Macaca fascicularis: one gene and its partner. The protein of the gene in region 1 interacts with the protein of each later gene in a pairwise test. Links are inferred from orthologs where the notes say so. Each region holds a gene or a part of one and is shown on either strand. Other genes may lie near its edges. The genes, in order: HOXA1 and SLIT1.

The links.
Region 2: the proteins of HOXA1 (region 1) and SLIT1 interact in binary tests that used the Homo sapiens proteins (3 or more experiments, as listed by UniProt). The link is inferred for Macaca fascicularis from reciprocal best matches to the Homo sapiens genes HOXA1 and SLIT1.

Annotation. Positions count from the first base shown.
Region 1 is NC_088377.1:103,176,016-103,180,355, forward strand, and holds the start of HOXA1 (homeobox protein Hox-A1), read left to right. Parts: upstream 1-1,506; 5' UTR 1,507-2,337; intron 2,338-2,459; exon of another isoform or gene 2,460-2,482; 5' UTR 2,483-2,553; coding exon 2,554-3,205; intron 3,206-3,666; coding exon 3,667-4,022; 3' UTR 4,023-4,340. UniProt on the Homo sapiens protein: Sequence-specific transcription factor. Regulates multiple developmental processes including brainstem, inner and outer ear, abducens nerve and cardiovascular development and morphogenesis as well as cognition and behavior.
Region 2 is NC_088383.1:105,945,470-105,949,277, forward strand, and holds part of SLIT1 (slit homolog 1 protein), read right to left. Parts: intron 1,901-3,808; coding exon 1,663-1,900; intron 972-1,662; coding exon of another isoform or gene 864-971; exon of another isoform or gene 833-863; intron 1-832. UniProt on the Homo sapiens protein: Thought to act as molecular guidance cue in cellular migration, and function appears to be mediated by interaction with roundabout homolog receptors.

The DNA of each region.
Region 1 (4,340 bases):
GGCGGCCGCGGGCCTGTGTGTCTGCGGGCCTGTGTGCGAGAGTAAGCTCGTGATCCCAAGAAAAACACTCCACCCAGGATACCCCCGAAAAGAGGCCAGGAGAGAAGAGAGGCTGAGGGAGAGCAGCGCCGAAGCAGCGAACTAGCAAAGGGAGAGTGGCTCCTGCCGGGGTCGGCTTTGTGGCAGGCGCCCTGCAGCCGAGGGGGTCCTGCAAACCCAGGCTGAGGAGGGCAACCAAGGTACAGGAATGAGGCAGCGGGGGAAAATGTACTGACTTGCTCAGGCTTGGAGGAAGGATTGCTCTCATAGCCAGCACCGACCTCCTCACATCCTGCCCACTCCCCCACAGGAGCTCTTTCTCTCCCTGCCGCTGGAAGCTGGCGCTCCCAAGGAAGCCACCTCCAGGAGGACCGCCTTGCCTTTCCCCTTCTCCAGAAGGATGATTCCCAGGAGCCGAAACTGGGGCAGGGGTGGCTGCCCAACCCCAGGAAGCGGCTCTTTCCTGCCCCTGCTCCCTCTTAACCATGCTTGGAATGGATCAAAGTCACAGAGAAATACCAACCTGAAAGGAAATGTTTGGGGAGAATGTTTCATTGTTACTGAGGGAGTCCAGAGTCAGCATGGGTTTTCCCTCTTGAGGGGACAGGTTTGGGGGAGCTTCAGTAGGTGGAGAACAGAATACAGAAGACTGAAAGGGTGACTAACATATTTGAAATGTGCCTGCCTTGAAAAAAAAACCTTCCTTGTTCTAACAGGGGAGGAAAGGCTGAAGGGGAGTGGAAACCCCAAACCCACATACATTCCTCACTATAAATTCCATCTGATTCCAACATTGTACACATGGTTGGAGTAAAATTTATACAGCATTGGCTGCAAAGCTTCCTGGACGAGCTCTCGATTTCTCCTACCCAAGACTGCATCAATTATTGGTCTCCGTTTGGCTTTTTCCTCTCTACAAGCCCAGGGTTGACGTGAAACCTAATAGTAAACAACAATTAACGACCTCAGCAGCGTCAGGGTAGAAGGAGGGTGATGGGGAACAGGACCCTTGGCCTGGGATGACGCTCAGATTTTCACGTGTCCCTCTAAGGAAAGACTTGAAGGTTCTCATAAGCAACTACCCAGCCAGTTGGAAAGGGGAGGAGGTGTCGTTGGGGTAAAGTGTTCTGTCCACCATCAGCCATCTGTCCACCGCTCCTCCCACCTGCCAGTCCCCGCACCCACTCTAGACGCGCAGCAGAATGAGGAAGGTTACAAAAGGAAGCTCTCTCTCTCTTCTAACATTCCCCTCCAGAAAAAGAGGAACGCAACGAAGGGAGTTCAGCTACTTTGTTGGAGCTGTGGACCGGCCCTGCGAGGCCCACGCGGGAGCGGAGGCTCCTGGGTCTCGGGCGCCGGCAGATGGCCTGCAGCGCACGGCCCGGCCCCCACGCTGGCCACGTCCGCCAGCGTCATCTCTCTCCCCCGCCTCCTACCCCTAAAAATCCGGCGGTCGAGTAGCTCCGCATCCCGGAGGGCTCCCGCTGCAAAACTGAGTGGGAAAGAAACGGCGGAGAGCGAGGAGAGAGGGAGGGTGGGGAAGAAGAGCCCGGTCGCCCCCGGCCTTTTCCGGCAATCCCTGTTTCCAGGGCTCTTCCGCACCCCCCCTTCCCCGGTCGAATTACAGAAACTCCTCATTGCCATGCTAATGAAGAGCGGGGGCTGTGGGGAGAGGGTTTCGGAGACTCTCCTGGAAGAAGGGAAGTTTCTTTTCTTGCCCTCGTCTCCTTCACCCCCACCCGAGTTCCTCCCAGCCAGCCCTCTGCGCTCTTCCCTCTCCATTCCGCGCTTGGAGAGCCGGTGGCCCAGCCTCGCCCCCTGCCACGGTTCTGTGCGCTCCTCACAGCCCCATGGTCTCCCAGCCCAGCCTCAGAGCAGAGAAGGCGGCCTGGGAACCCGGGGCTCGGTGTCAGCCGGATTCCCCGCCTTCCGGTTGGGTGCGCTCCGGGCTGGGCCCGCGAACCTGCGGCCACCCGGCGAACTCCGGCCCACTAACTCGCGCCCCGAGAGAGCCGGGAGCCCTCTTCCCTTCTCACCTCTCGCCAGTTCATCTTTCAGTGCACAGTGGGGAGGGGGCGGGAGCGGGGGACGCCTCTCAGCCCCCACCTCCCGGAGGCCTGGCGGGGCGGGCAGCGGAGTCGGGCGCGCGCAGAAGGCAGCCTTTGCTCTTCTTCGCTCCAGCACTCCAAATCGGCCGTTGCAGTCGCCGCAGCAGCTGCCGCCGCCTGGGCTGCCTGGGGGGGCGACTGCACGTCACCTAGACGGCGGAGCGCCGGGGATTTAAATGCCACTGAAACGGTGATCCATCACCGCGGAAGCCGGCAAACTTTTGCAGGAGGCTCAGCCATTGGCTGACACCGTCACGTGCCCCTCCCCTAGCGTCCTCCGCCCTCCCGCCCCCCCCCTCTTGCGCACTGTACATTCATATCATTTTTCTTCTCAGGCCCCATGGAGGAAGTGAGAAAGTTGGCACGGTCACCCAGGGCTTCGCAGGACCAGGTCACTCAGTGACAGATGGACAATGCAAGAATGAACTCCTTCCTGGAATACCCCATCCTTAGCAGTGGCGACTCGGGGACCTGCTCAGCCCAAGCCTACCCCTCGGACCATGGGATTACAACTTTCCAGTCGTGCGCGGTCAGTACCAACAGCTGCGGCGGCGACGACCGCTTCCTAGTGGGCAGGGGGGTGCAGATCGGTTCGCCTCACCACCACCACCACCACCACCATCACCACCCCCCGCCGGCTACCTACCAGACTTCCGGGAACCTGGGGGTGTCCTACTCCCACTCGAGTTGTGGTCCAAGCTATGGCTCACAGAACTTCAGTGCGCCTTACAGCCCCTACGCGTTAAACCAGGAAGCAGACGTAAGTGGTGGGTACCCCCAGTGCGCTCCCGCTGTTTACTCTGGAAATCTCTCATCTCCCATGGTACAGCATCACCACCACCACCAGCGTTATGCCGGGGGCGCGGTGGGCTCGCCTCAGTACATTCACCACTCATATGGACAAGAGCACCAGAGCCTGGCCCTGGCTACGTATAATAACTCCTTGTCCCCTCTCCACGCCAGCCACCAAGAAGCCTGTCGCTCCCCTGCATCGGAGACATCTTCTCCAGCGCAGACTTTTGACTGGATGAAAGTCAAAAGAAACCCTCCCAAAACAGGTCAGTCCTGCTGGTTGGTGGATGCTCCTTGATTAATCTGGAAGGAGCTGGTATGCTTAATTTCCAAGGAAAATTAATAATTATCTTTTTTTTTAAAGGCTTTAAGACTAGTGTTGTAGTGCATGGAGAGGGTACCCAGAGGTGTTGGGGCAAAGAAGCCTCAGGGATTGGCGTGTTCTCAAGGATTTTATACATTTGGGAAGTAGGAAGTGTGTGGGGGTGGTTATTGTGACGGTAGTGTTCTGTTAATATCTTAAGGCTCCATTAATCACCGATCTGACCACGCTAATGGTTGACTTCAGGTTAACACTTTACACCTCATCACTCACCCTCCACAGCCCGATTTGTGTTGAGTTCTTGATCTTTTCTTTACCTGAGTGTTGCCATGAAGTGTGTAGGTAATCTCAAGTCGGTTTAAAAATTTTTACCTTTCCATCTCATGGCTTCCCACTTTGCCCCAGGGAAAGTTGGAGAGTATGGCTACCTGGGTCAACCCAACGCGGTGCGCACCAACTTCACTACCAAGCAGCTCACGGAGCTGGAGAAGGAGTTCCACTTCAACAAGTACCTGACGCGTGCCCGCAGGGTGGAGATCGCTGCATCCCTGCAGCTTAACGAGACCCAAGTGAAGATCTGGTTCCAGAACCGCCGAATGAAGCAAAAGAAACGTGAGAAGGAGGGTCTCTTGCCCATCTCTCCAGCCACCCCGCCAGGAAACGACGAGAAGGCTGAGGAATCCTCAGAGAAGTCCAGCTCTTCGCCCTGCGTTCCTTCCCCGGGGTCTTCTACCTCAGACACTCTGACTACCTCACACTAAGGCGGCTCCAGTCCCAGACCACAGCCCAGGCATCTCCTTGGGCTGGGACTTCTTACCCAAAGCACATGCTTAGCTTATCTTTCTTTCCATTTACAGTCTCTTCCTTTCTGATCCTATCTGGGGAGCTCCTGGCCAGGATAATATGTTTGCAGATAATTCTGGACCAGAGACTTGGTGCCGGGTTAACACCTTAATCCAGATTGGGTGCCAGCACACATTTTCTGGTGGGCCTTAACATCCCTCCTGATTTTAGGAGAATTCACAGAACCTACTGTTCCTTTCAGATGACTTTTTGGAAAATAGTTCCCTTTACCAACA
Region 2 (3,808 bases), on another chromosome or scaffold:
CAGTGGCACTTTCTCTCCCACCCCACCCCATGCAGCAGCAGCACAGGCTAGCAGGTGGGGCAGAGAGGGCACCCAAGATTGGAAGAGAGATGCTCTGTGCAGAGCTCTCTTCCCCCACCTGGCCAGCCTCCCCAAGGCCATTCCTCCAGGGGGCGCCAACAGGGGCTGCAGCCTCTGGTTCAAGCCCCATCCACTGCCAGCCTGGCCAGGTCTGGGCAGGGAAGGGTGACGGGCCACTGAGGCCTGGAAACTCTGTGCCAGGAAAAGCAGCCAGGAGACCTCAGGACAATCTTCCCAGAGAGGAAAATTAGACTGGGACCCCTGTCTGGAGGGTGTGGGTAGCCCTGTTCTGTGGGCCTTGGGGAGCTAGCTGCTGAGTGGGGGAACTACAGAGAGGACAAGTTCAGGAAGGCTCTCTGACAGCCAGAGTCATCCAAGCCTAGTGGAAGGAGCCACTCAGAAGGTAGTGTCTGTCGCTGGAACCGTGCAAGCAAAATGAGATCTTTGCCTCAGGAGGGAGATCCCTCTAAGATGCTGTAGGAGCCATGATCATTTTTCCCTCTCTTGTCCTCCTCCCTCCATTTCTTCTGGTAAAGACCCTGAGCCCCCTGGTCTGTGGAGCTGGGCACATGACCCAGGCTGTCTAGTCATACTGTCCCATCTCCTTGGACTCAGCGGCTGGTTCAGAGATGGGCATGTGACTAACGCCAGGCCAATCAGAGATCTTCCTTGAGCTGACCAAATTAGAGCTGGCAAGGAAGAGCCTTTGTAAATCACTGTCCGGTAAAAAAAGATGAGGATAAACCAAGGACGTGCCCGAGGCAATGGCTGGTTAGGGTTTTGGTGAATTTTATTTTTGGCGGTTAGGCTAGCTGTTGTCTTGCCATGCAGACTATGTAAGTGGATAGGATGTTGGAGATGTGACGTAGGGGAAGAGAGCAGAATGCACATGTTTGAGAGGCTGAAGAGTTCTGAGAAAAAAGGAAAAGAGGACAAAAGAGAGGGAAGAAAGATGTGGCATTTGTGACAGGGAATGGAATTCGAGGGAAAGAGAAAGATGACTAAAGGAGAGTTTAACGTTCTTTATCATGTGCTGTGCAATATAAGCCACTCTCCTCTCCATCCCCCAAAAATATTTAGCAAAATATTGATATATTTCATCAATGCTGTTGAAGTGGGACTTGCTTTATTTTCCCCTCAATAGGAAGATGTTCTGAGATGGAACTGAAGGCATGAAAAGGACAATTTAAGGGACCCTAGGGACATACGGTTAAAGGTATAAGCCCAAAGTTAATTCTGGCCACGTTCCAGCCACACATAGAAAGCCCGTCTGCAGCATTGGAGGCAGACACTGAGGAGCAGCCTCCTCAAGAAATGGGACAAGAAATGGTGGGAGGGGATGATGGCAAGTCTGGTTTTCTGGATTCAGTTACCCATGAGACCACATCCACCCCTGCCCTGGTTTTGTGACACTATAACCTTTCTAATTGTGCTTAAATCAGTTCAAGCCGAGATTTTGATACCCATATGCAAAAAGTTTTGATTACACAGAGTCCTTCCAGTTCCCCAGGCACCATGCAGGGATGCATCTTGATGCTCTGGCCTAAGCCAGGGTCCCCTGCTCCCTGACTCCCCTCTGTGACCAAGCCCCCTGGCACGCACCTGCAATGTGATGTTGGCCCGTGGCCAGTTTTGCAGGTCAGTGAACTGCAGGTAAGTGTCCCGATCCACAAAGTTGACACTGAGCAACTTCTCACACTCAGGGCCACCGAAGCCTGGGAGGCACTGGCACACGGGCCTGTTGCCCTGGTCCACACAGTTGGCCCCATTCTGGCACTCAGTCCCCTCACAGGGGCTCTTGGGGGTAGGCAGATGGGGAGGGATCTCACAGAGCTGTCCACTGAGAGGAAAGGACACAAGTCAGAGAGGGCCGAGGAGGAAGGGGGTATCTTCCTCTCCCATAGCCCTGGAGAGAAATACACTAAACATCTTGAGAAAATGGATTCTTAAAGTGACAGAAGATGCTCCTAATAAACACTTTTCATGAGAGAGCTAAGAGCCAGAAGGATATCAGGATACAAGTATGGTCCCTGGTCCAGCAGCATCAACATTACCTGGACACTTGATAGAAATGGGAAACCCACTGAATCTGCTTTTTAACAAGATCCAAGGTGATTACTGACAACGTCAATAACTCTGCAAGCCAGATTTTACTATATACATTTTACAGAAAAGAAAACTGAGATTTAAGACACAAGCATAAAGAGGGAAGAGTCAAGTTACTAAAATAAGAAATAAAAGAAGGGACATTACTACCAACCTAATAGAAATACAATGAATTATAAAGGAATACTATGAACAATGATATACCAACAAACTAGATAACATAGATGAAACGCGCAAATTCCTAGAAATATGCAAACTACCAAAACTGAACCAAGAAAAAAATAGAAAATATGAATAGACCTATAACTAGTAAAGAAATTGAATTAGTAATCAGAAAATTCCCAGGCCCAGATAGTTTAACTGGTGAATTCTACCAACCATTTAAAAACAATAAATACCAATTCTTCACAAACTTGTCCAAAAAATAAAAAATGAAGGAACATTTTCTAACTCATTCTATGAGACCAGCATTACCCTGATACCAAAAACAAAGACATCACAACAAAAGATATCACAAAAAACTACAGACCAATATCTATTATAAATATTGTCACCAAAATCCTCAACAAATTACTAGCAAATCAAGTACAGCATAAAAAGGATTGTATACAATGACCAAGTGAGATTTATGCCAGAAATGCAAGGCTGGTTTGACCTCTGAAATTCAATTAATGGAATATATGACATTGATAGATGAAAAAGCAAAAAAAAAAAAAAAAAAGTTCATCTCAATAGATGCAGAAAATGCATTTGACAAACTTCAACATTCCTTCATGACAAAAACACTCCACAGACTAGGAATAGAAGTAAACTGCATCAACCTGATAAAGGGCATCTACAAAAAACACACAACTGACATCAAACTTAATAATGACTGAATTTTTTTCTCCTAAGATTAGGAACAACACAAGAATATTTGCTATCACAATTTCTATTCAATATTTTACTGGAGGTTCTAGCCGTGGCACTTAGGAAAAAGGGAAAGGAAAAGAAAGGAATGAAGGAAGAAGGGAGGGAGAGGGAGGGAGGGGGGAAGGGAGGGAGAGAGGGAAGGCAGGAAGGCAGGAAGGAAGGCAGGCAGGCAGGAAGGAAGGAAGGCAAGCAAGGGAAGGAGGGAAGGAAGGAGAAATAAAATGCATCCAGATGACATGATCTTGTATAAGAAAATCCTACAGAGTCCATTAAAATGCTATTAGAATTAATGAAATAATTCAGCAAGATTGTAGAATACCAGATTAATGCACAAAAATCAAACAAAAAATGAAATTAAGAAAACAATTCCTTTATAATACATCAAACAATAAAATACTTAAGAATAAATTTTTTAAGTGCAAAACATATACTTTGAAAACTATAAAATGTTGAAAGAAATTAAAGAAGATCTAAATAAATGGAAAGGCATTCATGTTCATGGATCAGTATGCTTAATATTGTTAAAATGGCAATACTGGGCCAGGCATGGTGGCTCACACCTGTAATCCCAGCACTTTGGGAGGCCGAGATGGGTGGATCACCTGAGGTCAGGAGTCCAAGGCCAGCCTGGCTAACATGGTGAAAACCAGTTTCTACTAAAAATACAAAAAATAAGCCAGGCGTGGTGGCACACGCCTATAATCCCAGTTCCTCAGGAGGCTGAGGCAGG